5 linked regions of the Mus musculus genome follow. The protein of the gene in region 2 binds, or shares a complex with, the protein of the main gene of each other region. Links are inferred from orthologs where the notes say so. Each region holds a gene or a part of one and is shown on either strand. Other genes may lie near its edges.

The links.
Region 1: the proteins of Orc2 (region 2) and Orc4 are in contact, whole or in part, in a cryo-EM structure (PDB 7JPP), measured with the Homo sapiens proteins. The link is inferred for Mus musculus from reciprocal best matches to the Homo sapiens genes ORC2 and ORC4. Residues at the interface, in NP_006181.1 of Homo sapiens: Asp501, Asp504, Tyr508, Ser512, Gln518, Glu522, Val554; in NP_001177808.1 of Homo sapiens: Lys168, Asn169, Arg195, Glu200, Leu201, Lys204, Arg205.
Region 3: the proteins of Orc2 (region 2) and Orc3 are in contact, whole or in part, in a cryo-EM structure (PDB 7JPO), measured with the Homo sapiens proteins. The link is inferred for Mus musculus from reciprocal best matches to the Homo sapiens genes ORC2 and ORC3. Residues at the interface, in NP_006181.1 of Homo sapiens: Leu239, Glu242, Tyr243, Ala246, His247, Asp268, Arg273, Leu276, Val279, Ser280, Phe283, Glu286, Leu287, Leu290, Lys296, Leu297, His299, Lys300, Met302, Leu303, Gln304, His306, Leu307, Phe309, Tyr314, Gly315, Leu316, Arg320, Glu324, Arg327; in NP_036513.2 of Homo sapiens: Thr3, Ser4, Ser5, Met6, Ser7, Lys8, Gly9, Cys10, Phe11, Val12, Phe13, Lys14, Pro15, Arg20, Ile22, Ile26, Tyr29, Phe30, Lys32, Tyr47, Val111, Thr112, Lys139, Asp318, Lys326, Gln329, Leu330, Leu333, Tyr337, Glu589.
Region 4: the proteins of Orc2 (region 2) and Orc5 are in contact, whole or in part, in a cryo-EM structure (PDB 7JPO), measured with the Homo sapiens proteins. The link is inferred for Mus musculus from reciprocal best matches to the Homo sapiens genes ORC2 and ORC5. Residues at the interface, in NP_006181.1 of Homo sapiens: Val240, Glu241, Tyr243, Phe244, Glu245, Ser248, Asp396, Gln398, Arg401, Gly402, Glu403, His426, Asn428, Ala429, Pro430, Leu431, Met432, Trp433, Asp434, His435, Gln438, Trp445; in NP_002544.1 of Homo sapiens: Asp324, Lys325, Phe328, Leu329, Leu359, Asp360, Arg361, Ala364, Tyr367, Ser368, Ala378, Asn379, Phe381, Ser382, Gln383, Thr385, Ser386, Thr389, Asp400, Gln401, Leu402, Asp403, Tyr407.
Region 5: the proteins of Orc2 (region 2) and Lrwd1 are in contact, whole or in part, in a crystal structure (PDB 8SIU), measured with the Rattus norvegicus proteins. The link is inferred for Mus musculus from reciprocal best matches to the Homo sapiens genes ORC2 and LRWD1. Residues at the interface, in NP_001012003.1 of Rattus norvegicus: Val11, Pro12, Ser13, Val14, Gln15, Phe16, Val17, Gly18, Asp19, Val22, Leu23, Ser24, His25, Ile26, Leu27, Asp28; in XP_038945348.1 of Rattus norvegicus: Pro262, Leu263, His264, Phe265, Leu266, Gln267, Cys268, Ser270, Asn273, Ser274, Pro275, Leu320, Val321, Leu322, His323, Lys324, Tyr325, Lys326, Leu367, Val369, Gly372, Phe373, Cys374, Pro596, Pro598, Val599, Ala600, Val605, Ile630.

What each region holds. Positions count from the first base shown.
Region 1 is NC_000068.7:48,932,140-48,936,261, reverse strand, and holds part of Orc4 (origin recognition complex subunit 4), read left to right. Parts: intron 1-2,639; coding exon 2,640-2,712; intron 2,713-3,096; coding exon 3,097-3,182; intron 3,183-3,664; coding exon of another isoform or gene 3,665-3,703; exon of another isoform or gene 3,704-4,122. UniProt on the Homo sapiens protein: Component of the origin recognition complex (ORC) that binds origins of replication. DNA-binding is ATP-dependent. The specific DNA sequences that define origins of replication have not been identified yet.
Region 2 is NC_000067.6:58,473,790-58,477,911, reverse strand, and holds part of Orc2 (origin recognition complex subunit 2), read left to right. Parts: intron 1-1,368; coding exon 1,369-1,478; intron 1,479-2,970; coding exon 2,971-3,103; intron 3,104-4,122. UniProt on the Homo sapiens protein: Component of the origin recognition complex (ORC) that binds origins of replication. DNA-binding is ATP-dependent. The specific DNA sequences that define origins of replication have not been identified yet.
Region 3 is NC_000070.6:34,604,559-34,608,680, forward strand, and holds part of Orc3 (origin recognition complex subunit 3), read right to left. Parts: intron 2,671-4,122; coding exon 2,573-2,670; intron 1,124-2,572; coding exon 979-1,123; intron 1-978. UniProt on the Homo sapiens protein: Component of the origin recognition complex (ORC) that binds origins of replication. DNA-binding is ATP-dependent. The specific DNA sequences that define origins of replication have not been identified yet.
Region 4 is NC_000071.6:22,547,271-22,551,982, forward strand, and holds the start of Orc5 (origin recognition complex subunit 5), read right to left. Parts: upstream 3,069-4,712; 5' UTR 2,994-3,068; coding exon 2,922-2,993; intron 747-2,921; coding exon 654-746; intron 1-653. UniProt on the Homo sapiens protein: Component of the origin recognition complex (ORC) that binds origins of replication. DNA-binding is ATP-dependent. The specific DNA sequences that define origins of replication have not been identified yet.
Region 5 is NC_000071.6:136,122,466-136,126,596, forward strand, and holds the end of Lrwd1 (leucine-rich repeat and WD repeat-containing protein 1), read right to left. Parts: intron 1,494-4,131; coding exon 1,402-1,493; intron 1,291-1,401; coding exon 1,135-1,290; intron 1,048-1,134; coding exon 938-1,047; intron 851-937; coding exon 710-850; 3' UTR 601-709; downstream 1-600. Other genes in the region: Polr2j (DNA-directed RNA polymerase II subunit RPB11), read left to right, coding at 277-312. UniProt on the Homo sapiens protein: Required for G1/S transition. Recruits and stabilizes the origin recognition complex (ORC) onto chromatin during G1 to establish pre-replication complex (preRC) and to heterochromatic sites in post-replicated cells.

The sequences.
Region 1 (4,122 bases), on a different chromosome or scaffold from region 2:
TATACAAAACAAATACATCAACATTTGAATGTATTACTATTAAATTTTAATGTGCTAAGTTGTATAAATTGTATTTTTCTAGTATTCTGTAATAGCAAATTAATATTTTGTTCAGGCATATTATTATACCTTAAAAATAGTTAAGATAGTAAATTAAAACTGTTTCTATTTTTTAAAATAGTACATGTTGGTTCTATATTATGTAAGATGAAGAATTTTTATTTATACTACCATTTCCATTTAAAGAACATAACTTGGTAATTGACAACTTTATTACTGTTTCAAGAATTTATACATTTCTTATAAGATGTCTTACTCTAGCCTGCTTTGGTCCTCCTGCTTACTTGGTATAATTTCCAATTCTTTGCCATTTGTTGTTGTTTGGTTTTTATAATTTTCTTTTGCTTTAATTTAACAACTTTTTTCAACAGAAGAACTATGTAAAATACATTTGTGGTTTTGATTGTTTTCCTTAATGTATCTACTGCCTGGGGTTATAGGCTTCCTCACAGGTGTTTTTGTTTTTGTTTTTGTTTTTCCTCTCCTTAGAATTGCAAGGATTTTGCATGAATTTTGTTTTGTGGAGAAAATCCTGGAGTGAGATTTTCTTTAGTTTTTCTTTTTTCTTTTCTTTTTGCTGTATTTAGATTATATAAGTGGCTGAGCCTCACAGAAGTCTCAGATCCCTGTGGCTTAGTAGGACATTTTATCTTTCTTTGTACCGTCTATCATAACAGTGTACAAATCAAAGGAAGCAAGCTTGTGTAGATGAGCTCAGTGGAAGAGTGCTCAGACTCTCTTGATACACTTAGGAGATAAAAAGTTTTACTAATGTCTATCCTTTAAAGGATTTGAAATGTTTTCTAATGTGTGATTCATGAATTGAAACAAAATGGCTCCCAAGTAAAATATAAATGTCAGTGAAATGTAAGAGATAGGAGGCAGCACACAATGCAATACTTTTTAAAAATACGTTGAAAGTAGTGTTGTTAGGGAGAAAGTTTGTATGAGTCACAGATGTTCTCTTGTGATAGAGTCGATCTGATTGAAAGATAGGAAAGTACTGTCTTATCTCTTATGGTTGCTTTTATTGTTTCTTCTCAGCTGAACTACTACAGAAGTCAGACAGTTGTACCCAGAGAGGTTTTTTTGTTTTTTTTTGTTTGTTTGTTTGTTTGTTTGTTTTTTTAAGAGAATCTAGATCAAGAGTACCTGTGTATAATTCCATGTGCTTAAAATCCACACATACCAAAGTTAATTTCTATGTTTACTATCCTTTTGTAAAATCTGTCTACTCTCTTTACTTATATGTACACCTAACCTCTGTTTTCCTGGACCACTTTTTTTTTTTAAATTTTATATCTTTTTTCCCCACATTTTTTATTAGATATTTTCTTCATTTACATTTCAAATGCTATCCCAAAAGTCCCCTATACCCTCCCCAAGCCCTACTCCCCTATCCACTCACTCCTACTTCTTGGCCCTGGTGCTCCCCTGTCCTGGGGCATATAAAGTTTGCAAGACCAAGGGGCCTCTTTTCTCAATGATGGCCGACTAGGCCATCTTCTGCTACATATGCAGCTAGAGACACTCACTCTGGGGGTACTGGTTAGTTCGTATTGTTGTTCCACCTATAGGGTTGCAGACCCCTTCAGCTCCTTGGGTACTTTCTCTAGCTCCTCCATTGGGGGCCCTGTGTTCTATCCATTAGATGACTGTGAGCATCCACTTCTGTATTTGCCAGGCACTGGCAAAGCCTCACAGGAGACAGCTATATCAGGGTCCCTTCAGCAAAATCTTGCTGGCATATGCAATAGTGTCTCCTGGACCATTTTTGATGTGAATAAAAGTGTTTTACATTGCCCTTAATCTTCTTCATTTACAAATTTTATATTACAATAATACATTCTCAGTATAAGTACATTTTCATAGTAATTATTATTGGTAATCTTACAATTTCATCTAACCTTTTACTAACTTTTGTATTGTTTTTTGTTTTGTTTTGTTTTTTGTTTTGTTTTGATTATTTGTTTGTGAAACAATTTCATATAGTTCAGGTTGCAGGTCATCCTGACTCTTCAATTTCTCACTCTTTGCCTTCACCTCCTGAGTGCTGGGATTACAGGCTAATTGCTGCTGCGTCCAGCTAAATTTCATCACTATGCTTTTCTATTCTTGTTCATGAGTAAATAGTTTATATTTTTCTTTTTAACTATTTGCTATTTCTTATTTCATGACAATATGCAGACTATCAACAGTGTTGCATAAAATTGACATTGGAGGACAAACCTTTTACAACTATTTAGGTTTATTTTTTTCTATAGCTTTTAACTGCTTTCAGTGGCACCTGGTAGAGAAATGTTACTGAATAGTAAAATGTACTGAGTCATAGAGATTACAAAAGAAGGTTTTATGATTGCTTCCAATGTTTATTAATAGTTTATATAAATTATTAAGATATTAAAGTTTCAGTTAGGCTTTGCCATTAGACTTAGACATAATGAATTGTATATATCTAAACCTATTAGCTATAAAGTAATTTATTTGTTTATATTTATTCTCAACATTTATGATTTTAAGAAAGAATAGCTTCATTTTATCTTTTCCAAATTAAACATTTTACACATTTTTATATTTAGTTATTAAATCATGCTTTGAAAGAACTCATGGAAATAGAAGTGAGTGAAAATGTGATACAAGTTCACTTAAATGGTGAGTATATCATTATTTTTCCATTAAGAAACAATGTGAACTAGTTTTGCATATGATGATAATAAATTCATTTGTGTTTTAAGTCTGTCTATATATTAAAAACTGTATGCCTGTTTAATGGCTTTTAGATATTAAAGGAAAGTATATATGGTAAAAGTGTATATTTTCAAATAGTTAAATAGTTTTTTTTTCTTAAATAGTGCCATCTCCAAGGAATGCTTCGATTACCATATTTTTAGAAGAAGTAATATGAAATAGCAATCTGATTATATTCTTTCTAATTAAATTTTTAAAAGCATTAGAAAATACATTTACTTGGAAAATAATCTGTGTCAAATACTTGCTTCTTTTTATTTAGACACCATTAATTGTACTCTGTTTCAGGACTCCTGCAGACAAATGAAAAAATTGCTCTGAAAGAGATCACAAGACAATTAAATCTAGACAATGTAGTTGAAGATAAAGTTTTTGTAAGTATCATTTCAGATATTTTATTTCTGGAAGGCTAGGAGAGTCATATTAGAAAGTTATGTAATATATATGTTAGAAGTTGATGTAAGATTTTTGTTAGGATAAGACTTAATGTATGGCATATTTAGTCATCAAGCTTTTTTTTATTTTGGTGGTTGTTTTTATGTATTTTTATGACTGTTTAAGTAAAAGTCTTTTTAAATCAAGACTTATGAAGTAGCGTGAGCATATTAGATACTATTTTGAATTTAAAAATGGCATCGTGGATTGACTTGTTGTTAAGAGTTGATTCCCTGTTGGTGATACTAGGCTGTCGGATCAATGAATCTCTCTCAATATCAGATTCTTTGACTAAGTATACTTACTTTGTGTATGTAACAAGATTATTCTAAAGAAGGGGCGTAAATGTCCTTTTGATTAAATACTCTGTTGGATGCTAATGTGCTGTATGAATATCTGTTACTTCATTTCCGTCACTTAGGGTATGCTGGTGTGCCTTGAAGTCTCAAAGTACCGATAGTGCTTCAGACTGTAGTGTTGGAAATGTCTCATTCAGCTGTTTACCTCACATAAATGACCTAAGGAAGACATGAGTAATCCATGTCCGAGACTCCATATGCAGATGAGATACACATTTCCCAAGTCCATTTTCTGTTTACTGCTGTGCCTGCAGTACTGTCTTTCTTATCTTACCACTCTTTGCTCTGTGCTGCAGTGATCTGAATACAGCTATGCACACACGCTTCTAGTATCTAGGAATTGCATTCTTTAAGTTAGCAACAAAAAGTTGAGCCAACTATATTTTCTCCTTTCCTGCTCTACAAACTGTTGAGAAATAAAGTCAGAGTGTTCCTTTATTAATAACTGTGTTCAACAAGAATTCCTATTAAAACTGTAGCAAATGATCTGTGGGGGGGTTAATTCTAATGTTCCTAGATG
Region 2 (4,122 bases):
GACACGGCATTTGTTAAAAATAGCTTTTGAAAAGGAACAAATACAAGTTTATTATTGATGGCAAATTATAAAGAAACTTTAATGTTTTCTGAAAATTAATATTTTATCATTACCTTACTTTTTACAGTCTTTCAAAGCTACAGGTTTGGTTTTCTCTGATTGTTGTTTTAATGTTGTTACTATTATGCAGAGTTCAGTTCAGGGCTCATACTTGTTAGAAAGCACTCTGGCAGTGAGCTACAGCCCCAAACTCATAGGCTTGGAGAGGTATCACTGTTTTGTTTTTTTCTTTGATTTGTATTTGTCTGTCTGAATTTGGTGTGAACACTGAGAAGCATATTTGGTCATTTTATAGTATGTATGTATATGTAAAATACATATATATATTTATATATATCTTATTTTTATTTTTTATTTATATATTTTTTAATTTTTTTTTTTGTTGGTTTTTCAAGACAGGGTTTCTCTGTGTAGCCCTGGCTATCCTGGAACTCACTCTGTAGACCAAGCTGGCCTAGAACTCAGAAATCTGCCTGCCTCTGCCTCCCAAGTGCTGAGATTAAAGGCGTGCACCACCACCACCAGCCAGTACCTATATTTTTAGATTAAAATTTTATATTTGGAGTGTGTTGTAATCATTTAAATGGTTCTAGGCAAACTTAGCAAAGTTTTGTATTGTTAAAGTTTTGTATTTTTTTTTGTTTGTTTGTTTGTTTTTTTGGTTTCGAGACAGGGTTTCTCTACATAGCCCTGGCTGCCCTGGAACTCACTCTGTAGACCAGGCTGGCCTCGAACTCAGAAATCTGCCTGCCTCTGCCACCCAAGTGCTGGGATTAAAGGCGTGCGTCACCACGCCTGGCTTTGTATTGTTTTTATATACTTGAAATAAGGAGAACTTTGGGGGCTGGAGAGATGGCTCAGAGGTTAAGAGCACTGACTGCTCTTTCGAAGGTCCTGAGTTCAAATGTCAGCAACCACATGGTGGCTCACAACCACCTGTAATGGGATCTGATGCCCTCTTCTGGAGCATCTGAAGATAGCCACAGTGTACTTACATATAATAAATAAATAAATCTTTTTTTAAAAAAAGGAGAACTTTAAGAGGAGTTGTAGACACGGCGCTTACAACCTTTTATAACTGCAGGTTTAGGGGATCTGATGTGCTCTTCTGACCTCCACAGGCACCAGTTATACACAGAACACTCATACACATAAAAAACCCTAAATCCTTAAAAATAACTTTTAATTAAACAAGTATTTAAGCCATGTGTGACATATTTTTTTTAACATTCAATTGGTACACTTCTGATCATACCTGATTTAAGTCTTTATTTCCACTAAGAACTTTGTCTCTCTTGTTTTTCAAAGAAAACTCTGCATAACTTACTGAGAAAATTTGTGCCTTCCTTTTCTGCTGAAATTGAACGATTGAATCAACAGCATGAGAAACTGTTTCATAAATGGATGCTTCAGTTACAGTAAGTTATCATTGTAAGCCCTACACAATGAAGAATAAGTATATGTCTGTGTTAAAACATGATTTGCCAGGTGTGATGGCATGTGCCTTTAATCCCAGCTCTAGGGAAACAGAAGCAGGTAATCTCTGAATTCTAGGCCAGCCTGGTCTTCATAGTGAGTTCAGGACAGCCAGGACTACCTAGAGAGTCCCTGTCTCAGAACCCAAAAACAATGCCAGGATGGTTATGACGTACGCCTTTAATCCCAGCACTCAGGAGGCAGAGGAAGGTGGATCTCTGGGAGTTTGAGGCCAGCCTGGTCTCCATGGAGAAACCCTGTCTCAAAAAAAAACCCCTTAACCAAACAGAAACCATAGTCTGCTGCTGTATTGATCACAGGTTGGCCCTCTCAGTGGGCGAGAGCACTGCTCTAGGAGCACTTTCCCTTTTCATCGTTGCTTAGTTTTTCCATTTGTATTGTATGTGTGAATGTGAGTGTGTGCGCGCTGCAGTGCATGTAGGGGTCAGAGGACAATTTGTAGGAATAGGGTCCAAGGGTAACACCTAATGGCAGGCGTGTATGCCAAGTTCCTCCCCTAACTCCCACTCACGCTGTTGTGGTATTTGTTTTTCTGATGCTGTGATCAAACACTAGGACCAAAAGCAACCTGGGGAGCAAAGAGTTGATTTCATCATAGTATAGTATGGCTGTAGTTATAAAATGATGATTGGGGGAGCGAAGGCGAGAACTCAGGCAGTTCTGTTCCTCCTCCTTACTTGCCTCCCTGTACTGTAGCTTTTCCAGAAGCATCTGCTGCTTCCCTGTGGTCAAACCTTCCAGCTAATGCTGGCACTTTCAGGTGTGCGTTAGTGTAGGAAAGTACAGTTAACATGGTAGTGCGGTTCACTGTTGCTCATTCTTTTGTTCATTTCAACTCTCCTGTAGCCCATGTGAAACATTGCAGGATCGGCCGTGGTTCCTCTTACGTCAGGCTGCAGAAAAAGCTGACAAACACTGGGACTGTGAAGGGTGAACACAGCAGCTTAGCTGTCTAGCTGCCCCAGTCCGCCCTGCACTTTTTTTTTTTTTTGGTTTTTCGAGACAGGGTTTCTCTGTATAGCCCTGGCTGTCCTGGATCTCATTTTGTAGACCAGGCTGGCCTCAAACTCAAAAATCTGCCTGCCTCTGCCTCCCGAGTGCTGGGATTAACGGCGCGCAACACCACGCCCGGCCCCCGCCCTGCACTTTTGATTTACTCATGTATTTGTGAGGCAGAGTCTAGCCTGAAGCTTGCTTTGTAAACCATGCTGGCTCTGAGATTACAGCAGCCCTGCCTCTGCCGCCCAGTGCTGGGATTAGAGGTGTACACGGTGGGGCTGCTCTTTGTACATTACCCTTTGTTCTTTGGGGTTTTCTTTTCTGCAGTCCTTGTGAGCTGGAAAGAAACTGGGGATAAAGCTGGCAGTCAGGAGTCTCATGCTGTAATTTTACAGACATTGTCCTTCCTTACAGCCTTGGGTTCAACATTGTGCTTTATGGCTTGGGGTCCAAGAGAGATTTACTAGAAAAGTTTCGAACCACCATGCTTCAAGATTCCATTCATGTTGTCATCAACGGCTACTTTCCTGGCGTCAGTGTGAAATCAGTAAGTTTACTGTTAAAGGAGTAATATTATGTCCTCTGCCACGTCCTGGCCCCTTAACTGTTATAGTACAATTTCTGCTTCTGAACACTGTATATAAAGGATTTTGCTTTAGGCTTCAGACCACTTAGATCATGTGTTTGTATTCAGAGCAATTGATCTTTAAGTTTTCATGTTTGAATTTCCTACCAAGTCACTGACGTGGGGCAGGGGAAATGGCTTGTTCTGTAAAGATCTCAGTTCAGTCTCATGAACTCTTTCCTTTTCTAAAGAACTAGATGTGGTCTGTGCTTGCAATCCCAGTGCTAGAGAAATAGGGGGAGGGAGGGGCTGAGCTCAGGGCTCACTGACCATCCAGCCCAGCCTACTTGATGAGTTCCCTGCCAGTGAGAGACCCTGTCTCAGAATAAACGACGAGGCTAGAGAGTGGCTTAGCCGTTAGGAACGCTTGCTGCTCTTGCACAGATCCAGGTTCTGTTTCTAGACCCCTCATGGCAGTTTACAACTGTAACTCCAGTTCAGTCCAAAGCATCTGACTCCTTCTGGCCTCCTCGGGCACTGCACGCACGTGTTGCACATACATACATGCTGGCAAAACACTCATATTAAAATGAAAAAAAAACCAACTTTTTAGGAATAATTGATAAAAAAAAGCACACACAGCACCTGAAGAACAGCACCCAAGTTTGTCCTGTGGCCTCCACATTTACCTGCATACAAATGTGCACCCAAACAAGCCCATGCACAAATAATCACTGTCTTAGTTAGGGTTGCTATGGCTGTGATGAAACACCATGACCAAAAAACACAAGTTGGAAGCAAATGGGGAGGGAAGACATTTGGCTTACACTTCCACATCATAGTCCATCATTAAAGGAAGTCAGGGTAGTGACTGAGCTGGTCAGAGGCCAAGGTGCTGCATTCCTGGATTACACTTTCTGACTTGCTCAGTCTGCTTTCTTATAGAACCTAGGACACCCACAATGCTCTGGGCCCTCCCCATCAATCAGTAATTAAGACAA
Region 3 (4,122 bases), on a different chromosome or scaffold from region 2:
GAGTGGAGAAACACCCTCATAGAAGCAGGGAGAAGGGAGCTGGGAAATGGGGTTTCTGGGAAGGGGGTAACCAGGAAAGGGGATAACATTTGAAATGTAAATAAAGAAAATACCCATTAAAAGGGGGGGGGGGGAATAAAGCTATAGAGAAACGTTTAATATTCATACACACACCCCCCAGAAGAAAAGTTAGTTTTCTTCAGTGGCGTCTCATTGGGCATGTTAACCACCCTTGAGGGTAGGCCCCACAGCCAGCAGTAGATGGCCTCCAAAAAATGAACTCAGTAGGACTTCTGAGACTTTTTGTCTCATATTGATGTGTTTAGGCATTTTTTTGGTCTTAATGGTCTTTTGAGTATATATTTTGATCTTGTACTTTTGTGTCTACATGTTGTGCTTTTTCTTTGTCTTATTTATTCTGGTTTTCTTGGTAACCTGAAAAAACTACTGTTAATAAATCAGATATTTTGTATTATCCTGAAATATGCTTGCTCTAAATTAGATATTATTGATGAATATTTTAAAAAATTATAACATAATCTGGAAGTAATTTATATACAATTTATACAAATTCTTCTCTATGCAATTAATGTTAAAAGAATCTGAATTAAGATTTCAAGTGCAAGAAATAAGTATTATAAATTTCATTGAAGATATGATTGTTTTAAGAAAGTAGAAATAATTAAATCCACTAACACACTACTGTTTTATTATTGAATTCAAATGTCATTACCCTAAAAACACACAGGAAGAAGACTAAAAAAACAATTGTAGTTTTCCTCAGTTCTTCTACTAGTAATGTAGCTAGGTCAATTTCTTTTTATCTACAGATACCTGAATATATAATAAACATTTACAAAGTATGTAAGTCAAATCACAGTTGTTTTAATTTGTAGGAGTTTTATCATAACAAGATATTTTCCACTAGTATCAATAGCAAAACCAGTTTAAAAAATATGCACAGATATGCATACATACCAAGAATAAGAGCAGCTGTTGGAATTTCTCTGAATTTCATTTGAGAGCCCCAGTCTCTTGAATTTTTCTGGAATTCAGGATGGGACTTCTGCAGAAAGTCAACTAGGTTATCAAACAGATTTTCATTTAATTCCTCCTGTAATTGCTGCAAAGAAAACAAAATTTCATGAGTTATTAGTAGTTGTATTTCTTTTCTTTCCTGGTGTAGTTTTTAATTTTTCTTTTCCCTTTGAATGTTCAGTAATTTTAGTTGATGAGATAAAGCAGCAATAGAGCAACCGGGTAAAAAACCCCACAGATGCCAGGCAGTGGTGGCGCATGCCTTTAATCCCAGCACTTGGGAGGCAGAGACAGGCGGATTTCTGAGTTCGAGGCCAGCTTGGTCTACAAAGTGAGTTCCAGGACAGCCAGGGCTACACAGAGAAACCCTGTCTCAAAAAACTCAAAAACTCAAAAACTCAAAAAAAAAAAAAAAAATCCCCACAGATATCAACACACAATGGCCAGCACAAACTGTATTGAAAGGGAAGAGAAGAGGGGGAAACCTATAGACTGTATTAACACACAACAAGCAGAAACAATGTATTGGAAGGGGACAGAATGGGACATGCACACATATCTTGACACACAGTGAGCAAGCACACAGTGTATTGAGAGGGAATAAAAGGGCAAAATAGCTGAAAGTGACAATCAGAAAAAAACTGTGGGTAAAGTTAATGGGACAGGTTGAAGTTTGGGGATTAAGGCAGGGAGGGATAAGGACACCAAGCTACAGGACTGTGAGAGTGAAGGATACCTAGCTACCAAAGATGGCCTCATTATGCAGACAGTCTCCCAGATAACCACCATTAGAATGCATCTGTAACCTAGGTTAAGAAGCCTAGACAAGAGCTTGTGTACAGTGTTTCAGCAGAGGGCTGGAGCTCAGTTCCCTCCTTGTTAACTCCAACCACAGTGAATTCAATGCCCTCTTCTGTGGAGTGTAAAGTAGTAAAGACAGATGGGAAGCACTAAGAGACTGGACAGCGGGTGCACTGGAAAAATGCCTCGTGGGTAAGCGTGCACGCTGTGCAAGCAGAAAGACCTAAGTTGGAATTCCTAGCACCCACATAAAAATTGTGTGCAACTCTCATTCAAAAACAAGACACTATAGCATCGCGTCGCTTAAGCCGAACGAGCGGCTGGCACTGGAGCTGCTGCCATTACTATACTGACGATATTCACAGCCAATATGCAGTAAGCTCTAGGCCAACCTGAGCTTAAGACTATGTCTCAAGAAGCAAACCAAAACACAGCAAAAATTGGATGCTAGCACAAATTTCGAAATGGCTTCATTTCAGACTTGTGTAACCTCTTAACTGAATTTAAGAGTTCACCACAGTGATTTTTTTTTTTTCTTAGAAATGATCATGTTGCAGCGACGAAGGCCATACATAACTTTAGAACATGACACATGTTTTACTTGTGGTATATAGGCTGTGTTTGATTGTACTTTCTCATTTTCTATATATACTCTTATACATCATTAGATATGAGAAGTAAATACAAGACTCATACTATTTTATTACAGAAATGTAAAAAGGAAATTATTCACCTCTGTTTCAGATTTCATCCGTTGCCATAGCAAGCTATATGTTTCAAATCGAAGTTTACTGTCCTCAGAGTCAAGTTCCTCATTATTAAAATAATCCTCTAAAAAAAAAAAAACCCAGAAAGTCAAGTTTTTTTAACACAATAAAATTAAGAGACTGTACATAGAGACAAACAGCATGGGAGAGGGGATTAAAACATTTTCTTTTTTTTTTTCTTTTTTTGGGGTTTTTTTTTTTGTTTGTTTGTTTGTTTTGGTTTTTTCGAGACAAGGTTTCACTGTATCGCCCTGGCTGTCCAGGAACTCACTCTGTAAACCAGGCTGGCCTCGAACTCAGAAATCCGCCTGCCTCTGCTCAAAACATTTTCTATGCCTCTATGCATCCAAAAACTATGTATCTACATATACATGTCTCCTTTACATTTGGAGAAAAACAATATAGTTTATCATTTGTATTTAATTTTAAATCTCAATTTTTACCATAATATAAAGGACATTTAAAATTTTAGAGTTCTATTTCTTACTAAGAATCTCTAAGCATTGACTTGCTGACTTTCAGTTCAAGGTAAACATCAATGTTTTCATCCATACCATCTTTAACTTTATCAAATAATTTTTCATACTTTTTTGTCCTAATAGTTTACTCCAGCCTTTGATTTAATAAGTATTACTTTCTTTTTTGTCTTTTCTTCTCTCTTCTCCTCTCTTCCCCTCCCCAACCCTTCCCCTCCTGCCCCCCTCTAGCTTTTCAAGACAGGGTTTCTCTGTATAGGTAATCCTGACTATCCTGCAACTCACTATGTAGAGGAGGCTGGCCTCAAACTTAGAGATCTGTCTACCTCTGCCTCCCAAATATTGGGATTAAAGGTATGAGCCACCACCATGGCCTTTTTTTCCATTTAATTTTTTTATGTATGAGTGCTCTGTCTGCATGAACACCTGCATGCCAGAAGAGGACATCAGATCCCTTTATAGGTGGACATGAGCCACCATGTGGATGCTGGTAAGTGAACTCAGGACCGTCAGAAGAGAAGCCAGTGCTCTTAACTGCTACACCATCTCACCAGACCCTTTCTTTTTTAGAATTCAATCCTATTAAAAGGTGCATGCACTGCCAAGGAAGGCAGAAGAGAGTGTTGAATCCCCTTGACTGGACCTAACAACAGATAGTTGTGAGCTGCTTGTGGGGCCTGGGAATCAACCCCAGTTCTCTACAAAAGCAGCCAATGCTCCTAACAGTTGAGAATTATCTCTGCCCTAATATGTATTACTTTATATAGTTTTAAAACTGTTCTCTCCTGTCAGCCTTTCTGTCAAAATATCCTTATTGCAATAATTCTGAAAAAAATGTGTATCAAGGAATATATTATTTTGAAAATTTAACGAATATATTTCCAGTAGACATAAAAACAAAAGTCCCAGAAAACAACTGTTACTCTTATCCTCTAACAGCAAATGTGTTCTATTTCACAGTTTACTAAAGTGACTGCATAACGTGCAATGGGTTGGGGCCTCCAATTTGGACACAGCAGAAATGTATTTATATGTTGACT
Region 4 (4,712 bases), on a different chromosome or scaffold from region 2:
ATAAGTATCTTGCTTATTTTTGTGCTATTTTTGACTCAAATAATAGTATTTTTTCTAAGCATGTATTTGGGCATCTATAACAGAAACAAATCTCTTCTTACATTAAGTGATTGCAAAAAGTAATAAAGTATTAAAAATATAATACATTCCTTAAACATAAAACTCCTTACTGGATTTTCATGCTTTTATTCAACAATTATCTCCAGGATACTTCATAGACAAGTTTTCAAATGCAAGTTTTCAGAGCAACTCAGCAGGCCATCTTAAATATGCATCCTCGGAGCTAAGGCAAGACCAGAGTTAGCAACCTGAAGCTGTGGCCTGCACATCTGTTTCTGTGTACACACTTGCTGCAGATCACAGCCATACCTTCTCAAATAGATATGGCTTACTGCTGGCTTAGGACATAAGTAGGTATATGATAATATTCATAAATAAATAGCATCTAAAATACTTCTATAACTGTTTATAATAAGAACTGCAATTCATTTTTCATGCGTTAACATTTAGTACCTAACAATCCCAAAGCTGACTCTACTTGCCCTGGTTTGCAGATAGAGAAGGCACTGGGTGGTGAAATAAATTGTCTCGATTCATTCCGTCTCTAGTGACGTAAGAATAAAGGTCCACATCAGGGTTAGGGTTATTCTTACCTCTAAAGTTTTCAACAATGTTTGTGTTACATAGGTCTTCCCACTGGCAGTGTGTCCATAAATAAAGATGGACGGAAAGCTGAAATGATGTCTCTAAGAAAGAAAAGACAGGATAACACTAAATCCAAGTTATTTCAGTGGTATATACATATTCTTTTTTTTATTATTATTATTTGGTTTTTTGAGACAGGGTTTCTCTGTGTAGCCCTGTAGTTCCTGGCTGTCCTGGAACTCACTTTGTAGACCAGGCTGGCCTCGAACTCAGATATCCGCCTGCCTCTGCCTCCCGAGTGCTGGGATTAAAGGCGTGTGCCTAATACTTTAAGTTGAACTTAAATTCAACTCAACGTGTGTCCCCTTATGGAATTATCCTATAAAATTATAAGCGACTGAGCAGCACAGATACCAGTGTCAAACAGGGTAGACTCTGATGGCTTCAAACATCTACTGGGGAGACATAAATTTTTAAAATAATTTCAGGTATCATTTCATAAGCAAAAAGGAAGCTCATGACTTTTTGTTTTTCTTTCTTTCCAAAGCTAGATGAAATCTGGAATCCCATCACACTTGTATACATCTACTCTTTGGAGCCTACTACAGTATTCCCTGCCCATACAAGCTTCCATTGCCGTGATTAATAGCATGCTCAGAGGCGTCCTGTGGAGGAAAGGGTTTACTTCAGCTTGACGGTTATAGTTCATCATGAAGGAAAGTTGGGGCAGGAATTCCAGGCAAGAACCTAGAAGCAGAAACTGAAGCAGAGGCCACGGAGGAAGGTGTCTTAATGACTTACTCAGCTTGCTTTCTTCCCTGGAGTTGTACCATTCCCAGTGGGCTGGGCCCTCCCACATCAATCATTAATCAAGAAAATGTCCTACAGACTTGCCTACTGACTATCTGTTGGAGGCATATTTGTTTTCAGTTATGTTCTCTCTTCCCACGAGGGCAAAACTAACCAGCATGCTCCCCTTTTAAACAACGTTCACATTGTCACCTAGAGTTGAAATGAACTCTGACTCCACTGTCACTTAACTTTTCCCCAACATGTGCCACAAGACTGAATCTGGCACAGTGCCACACACAGAGCCAGTGCTCAGAAAATACACACTTGCTAAACATATAAATTAGTCTTCTACGAGCATAGCTAGCTCTTTTTTCTTCTGTAGCTATTTGCTATAGTGGTTCTTTGTATTTCCCACATGCAAACTTCCTTGAAGAAAAATATTGTTTTTGTTAGATGTAGTATTAAATAAGAGCAAAGGTGAAGCCTTTTCTGGGACCCACTGCTAAATCAGCCCTACCTATCTTATTTTGCTAATAAAGTATTCCTCAAAAAAAGAGGAGTACTTTTGGTTAGAATAATCTGGGTTTATCAAGTCCAATGAAGGAATGTACAGAGCATAAACAATTATACATTTCAATAATATAGGTAACTATAACTGAAAGCATTATAACTAGGAACTACAGATGCAGCTGACCTCTAGAATTGCTAACATGACGCCTTTTAGATGGAGGGAAGTACTTTTCCATGACTATTTCATCTGCCACCACAGACGCACTGGATCCGACACTCTGCTGGATGAAAGTACATTTCTAAAGGAAGACTAAATGGCTATTTGTATTTGCTCATCTCCCAGATAAGATCCAAGTGCAATCAATTCTAATTAATGAGCACAATGCAAGGCAACTGAGAGAAATGAATGTTACTTCAGCCTGTGTTCACTTCAGAGGCTAACCTCTCCCCTCTAAATCATCTCATCTGGTCGGCAGGGAGAGAAACCCAAGCGAGACTTCTCCTGGCTTTTATAATTCTAGAAAAGCTGAAGGATTTTAAAGGCTAAACCACAGCGTTACCCTAATTGGCCTTGAAGCCAATCACCTCTCTGTATTTGACCCAATCTATACCTCACTACAACGGGCGAACTGGCGTTTAGTAAACACTCTGCAAACAGACTTCCTACCCAAACCCTGTTCTGCAGCAACTTGCAGTAGCTATTTGGGGCTCACATAATCTCCAAAGTGTGGTCCAAGTAAAAGGAGCACTTCCTAGCCGACGTCCTGTAGAGCAGGCCAGCTCTTCCTCTGCAGTCTCCTTTAAAATAGACTGAGAAGTTTCTTTGGGTAAGTGTGGGGCAGTCATACCGCACCTCCATCTTAACATAAGGGGGATAGCCTACCGCCTCGCAATCCACACAGTACTCCCCCCAAACGGAACGGATCCAGGACGCATTCGCCTCTGGCATTTGGGAAGCAGTCTGACTACAATACCTCTCCAAACAGGGACTGCAAAGTGGACACTTGGGCCTCTCGACAGAGGACCATGCTCTCCAAGTGAGACATTTTGGCGGGCACCACCTGATACTGCAGAGCAGTTGGCCTCCGGTCAGCCCTGCGCCACTCAGGCGTGGTTCACGTAGAACAACCGCAAGCTTTCCGGCCGGAAGCCTGGGCTGGGGGCGGAGCCAGCGCGGTCGAGTGACGTCAGGGAGCCGCGCGACAACGTGGGCCGCTCTAGTCTCCAGGCGGCGGTGCTCAGTGGTCGGTTACTGGTAAGTGGTTATCGCTTCCCACTCTGGCCTGAGCTTTCCAGCCTGAAACCCTTACACAAGCTGAAGGGCGACCTGGGGGCACCTCACCGCCCACCTTCTGTGTCTTCAGTTCCCTCCAGAAAGCCGCACACATAAAAGTACCGACAGAAACGAGTATTCTTTAAAAAAAAATTGGTTTTCCTCTGGCAAGAAAGTGGACAATGGGAACTCTGTGGAACTAACTAAATAAAATCATTTGTTTGTCTTTGCAAGCTTGAAACTAGATGTGGAAGTATTCGAGTGTTAGTGAGGGTAATCAGTAAAATTAACGTTGTCCTTGCACATTTATAGGACACCTGGAAGAAGAAAAGCCTTGAAATGAAAGAATGTATAGGAATAAGAAAATTCGTGTCCAAAGAGAGGGCTTTGGGTCCTGAAAAAAAAATTTGGTCTGGAAACATTGACTCAACTTTTTCTGAATTTTGAGATGTTGGGAGAATCTTTGAACCGTTTATTTATAAACTTCCTTATATAGAACATAAGGACTATAGTAGAGTATTTTTAAGAATAAAAGATAATGTACGCAGTGTCTGCTACACATAGATTTCATAAACAGTGCAAAAAGACAAGGAAAACACGGCACCCATATTAGAAAGAGGCCCATTATGTATTATTGAACAATACAACTGCCTGTGGAGGAAATCTAATTACCACACACACACACACACACTTTGGTTCCAAAGTGGTTGTACAAGTTTGAATTACTACCTGCAATGAAGAAGTATTCCCCTTACTCCACAGCCTCTACCATAAGTAGTTAGTGACAATCCTTTCCCAATCTGTAGGCTGCTGTTTGGTCCTGTTGATAGAGCCCTTTGCCTTACAGAAGCTTTTCAGTTTCATGAGGTCCCATTTATCAATATTTGATCTTAGAGCCTGAGCCACTGGTGTTCTATTCAGGACATTTTCCCTATGCCAGCGTGTTCATGGCTCTTCCCCACTTTCTCTTCTATTAGACTCAATGTATCCGGTTTTATGTTGAGATCCTTGATCCACTTGGACTTGAGGTTTGTGCAAGATGATAAATATGGATCTATTTTCATTCTTCTACATACAGACTGCCAGTTAGACCAGCACCATTTATTGAAGGTGCTTGCTTTCTTTCTTTCTTTCTTTCTTTCTTTCTTTCTTTCTTTCTTTCTTTCTTTCTTTCTTTTTCACTGTATAATTTTGGCTTCTTTTTCAAAGATCAAGTGTTCATAGGTATGTGAGTTTGTTTCTGGGTCTTTGATTCATTTACTTTGATCTGTGAGTCTGTTTTTGTATCAGTATCACACAGGTGTTTTGTATCACTGTTGCTCTTTATTACAGCCTGAGGTCAGGGACTGTGACTCTTCTGGAAGTTCTTTCATTGCTCAGGATTGTTTTGGCTCTCCTGTGGTTTTTGTTTGTTTGTTTGTTTGTTTGTTTCTTATGAAGTTGAGAATTGCTTGTTCAAGGTCTATAAAAAATTGTGTTGGAATCTGTAAAT
Region 5 (4,131 bases), on a different chromosome or scaffold from region 2:
AGCACAGTTCTTGGTCTGGGGTTTCCGTGTAAGGTAAGCCTCCTTTGAGGTTTCACCCCACTGGGCAGGCATGTCCCAGTTGGCTCCCTAGCAAGCAGATGCCACAGGGCAGGGTGGGGGAAGCCTGCTGAGGTACCTGGAGCCTTTGGAGACTGGTCCACCCCCTGCCGTGTCCTCTGGAGTGTTGCATTTGCAAGGACTGCAGCCCCAGTGTCTTGGTGCTGCACCAATATGCTGGAGTCATTCCAGTGTAGTCACTGCCTTTGTCCCCCTCAGGTGGCCATCAAGGACAAGCAAGAAGGAATTGAGTAGCAGCTGAAAGAAGCGTTGCTTAGTGGCTGGAAGGCTGGCACATACTCCTCAGGGCCCTTCAGTTTACCACATGGCGACAGCCACTCTCAGCTCTCTAGCTGGGCACGGGGCTCTGCCCCATTCTGTACATAGACTGTTGTTTTCCTAATAAAAGCAGAGCAGAAAATGGGGCTGTGCAGTGTGTGGACTGTCACTCAGACCTGAACCACAGGCTGCTGGGCCTGCCTGAGTTAACCAAGGTAGAAACCCCAGTGGAGCCTGTGTGACTACACTCATTTCCCACTGGCCTCCACTCTACAATAGAGAATTTAATAAAAAATACTCACTGGTACAAAGCCCTCTCCCATTAGCCCAAGCTAACAAGCCATGTCCTGACACACTGCCTTGTGCAGGCAGACTAGCATCTCCTCCAGATGGACACGATGTTGGAGTCTGTCAGGGCAGTGAGGTAGGTGAAGGCTGCATTGGCCACGACTGTGTTTATCATGGTCTTGGTCACTGGTTGGCCCAATGCTGTTGGCTGAGGCCACTTCAGGATCTGAGGAGGGAAGAAGAAGGCGCTAGGCTCCTGCCTACCCAACAGTAGCCCTAAGGGATACCAGGATCTGTAGGGTGCCAACAGTACCTGTGTTGGGGGCTGCAGAGTTGTTGCCTGTGGAGGCTCTTTCAGGAGGTGTTCAACATCATAGATCCACACACTGCCTTCCTCGTCCCCACACAGCACGAGGTTTTTGCCTGCCAGGGCAAGTGGGAGCCTAAGATGGGGTTGGGGAGGGGAGGGGCAGGGGCAGAAAGGGAGTGTAACAGAGTGGGCAGGCTCACCGGGACAGGTGCTGAGTGAAAAGTAGGCCAGGTTGGTGGGTGACCACTGCAGCCGGACCAGGATGACTACGGGCAACACAGACTGTCTGCCCCGGCCTGCCCATGTCTGGCTCCAGCTCCACAGGTAGATGGTGCCCTGTCCACTCCCTTTGGAGGCTGCAGGGAGAGGAGAGAGAGAGTCCAGGCTGGCTGCGTGCCCAAGCCAGCTGTCAATACAGCCTCCTCGTTCCCCAGCCTGCCCAGGGTGTCCCAGCTGGGCTCACTTACCCACCACATCTTCATTCACAAATGCCAGCCCATCGACTCTTTGTCCTGACACCTTGGAGTCCTCAGAGAAGATGAAGTTCACCTCACACACCCTGTAGAAGATTCTAGCCTTACCCATGCATGGTCCTGCTTGGGGCTTGGGTTTTGGCCTAGAGAGCTTTAGCTGTGTCTTAAAGGGAAGTCACAGGGATGGATGGGATCATAGGGTCCCCAGGGGCTGGACATCCAGGGTTGTAGGCCAGAAGATGCTTCCAGTGCCTCTTTCCCCACGACCAAGGACAGACAACAGCTGTGTGAAGGGAGCTTGGTCATTCAAGTCGACTCGAGCGTTCCCTGCTGTGGATCCCTCTGTAAGCCCTCAAGGCACAAAAGTGCCCCCTTCCCTAACAGCTGTTTCCTAACTACTACAAGGGCCATTCCAGCCCCTCAAGGCAGGGAAGTGCCCAGGCCCCACTGTGCAAGAAAAAAAAAATCCTACCAATCTCTGACCACCCTGGAAACACCCCACCCCCCAACCTATGGTCTACCCAGTTCTCTGCTGCTTCTGGCCTCAGCAGCGGCTGCCACTCTCCTGGGTTTTCCCTCCCAGCTAATCTCTTGTGTGAGGTTTGCTGTGGGGTGTGACTCTGTGGAATTCCTTGGCTCCTGAATGCCATGATACCTCTTGGAGTAGAGCTCTCTCGCTCCGACTGGGGAAACTGTCCTGAACCGGAGCACAGCTGTCACATCTGCACTGTGGGAAATCTCCGGGCAACTGGAGCCAGCTTGTGTAGGAGAAGCCTTTCCCTTCAGAGCTGCACCATGGCCATGTTTGGTGCCATGACTCAATGCGCTCTTCTGGTGCCTGTGCTCCGCCTTGTGGTCTGAGCCGCACTGGGACCCTCATCTCCAGTCCACCAGCAGGACTCACCTTCCGGCTCACTGATAGTTCAGCATCCCTCCCAGACACCTGTGGCAATTAGCTAAGTTTCCCCTTTGGTCACTGAAAATATTTCCCTGCATCTGAGGAAGTGTCCAGTAACCATTCTGTGCTACTCTTGGAAGTGGAGGTTCCCCCAGCCACGGCCGCACTGGCCCTCTTCACCGGATCCCTCCTACAGTGCACCAATCTGGACCCCAAGACCGGATGGAAAAGAGCTTATGAGCTGCAACTTCTCTCAGTCTCCACGGTATGAGGGTCAGGGTTAAGGTGTACCATCGGAGAGGTCTGGAGAGAGAATCTCTTCTAAGCAACACCTGTCAGTAACTGTGGCCAGTGGGCTGAGGCGAGAAATAGGTAGGGGACACTGGCAGGAGGAGAGAGGATTCTGGGAAATAGAGGCATGGGAGAGTTGCCCAGGAACACTGAGAAGACAGTTGTAAACCAGCCACATAGAGGAACTCAGCAGAGAATAAAAGGGAGATTGGCTGGAGACCAATCTGAGGAGATGGGTGTAAACCAGCCGTAGCTCAAAGGAGAGAATGGAGGAGACTCACCCTGCACTTCATTACGCATGAAGCTGTGGAGAGGAAACTAACCATGGGAAAGACAGAGTAATGAGTTATGAGCTAGTCAGGAATGACCCAAAGCTTGTAGCCTAGGCATTTATTAAATAAATAGTCTCAGAATTGTCCTTCCAGGAGCAGGGATGGAGAAAAGGAAAAAGTGGTTTTATTTTTCTACAGAGATGAAAAAGTCTGAAAACAAGACTATGTGATGATGGCTCAGACCTCTCAGCTAGCCAAGGCAAAAGCCCAGGCTCTCTGAACCCCAGAGCCGAAGAACCTCCATGCCCCTGGACCCAGGCCTGTCTGAGCCCTCACAATGTCCAAAGTGCCATCAAGAAGGGCACTAGGGTTTTTACTGCCCCCTGTCCCTCATGGCACAGGGACATCAAGTCCAGACCGCCCTTCAGCTGACCTCCTTGGTCTGGCTACGTCTGACTGAGGGGCCCTGAGCTCCCCTGACCTGACCACCACCGTCTCTGACAGGGAGCCTTAGGTGGTCATCATAGAGAGTGGTCAATCTCCTTCTGGACATCAGGGTCTGACCAAGTCTGGAGACTCGCCTCTCCTCATTCCTGTTGTCGGAGTAAGGAGACAGCCTTACCAGGCCCACCAAACCCCACTACGTTCTTTGTACTTACACCTCTCCCCTTTATCCATTCCTTCCTAGTGGCACCACCCTGTCCCACCCCCTTTCTGGGAAGGGGTCTCCTTGCCATTTCTTTTGCTTCCCCCATCTGCTTGACCTCAGATTTGCCAGCCATTCCCCTCCTCCTTCTCCTCCTCCTCTCCAACCCCCACGCTGACACACCTTTTCCCTTACCGGCCTCTCAGGGAGATCCCTAAGCATGGAGCACCCAAAACTCCTCTACAGCCAAACATCACCCCTTCTTATTCAACTACAAAACCCACCAAATATATAACCCCAGCTCAATACCCATCTCCTCTCCAAAGCTTCAGGGGACATAGGCCTCTTATCTCTGACCTATCCAGAAGCAAATTTTCTGTGTCTCTCTTCTTCCCTTTAATGCCCCAATGCGAACCAATGGAAGTTATCGCTTAGTTCAGGATCTCTGACTTACCAACTCAGCAGTACCTCCCTTCCACCTTGAAGTACTCAATCTCTACAGTCTCCCCTCTACCATCCCCTCAGGGATCTCAAACTTCTCTGTCCTAGACCTCAAGGATGCCTTGTTTTCTATTCCTCTGGATCCCGCAATCACAAAATGTCTTTGTCTTTACTTG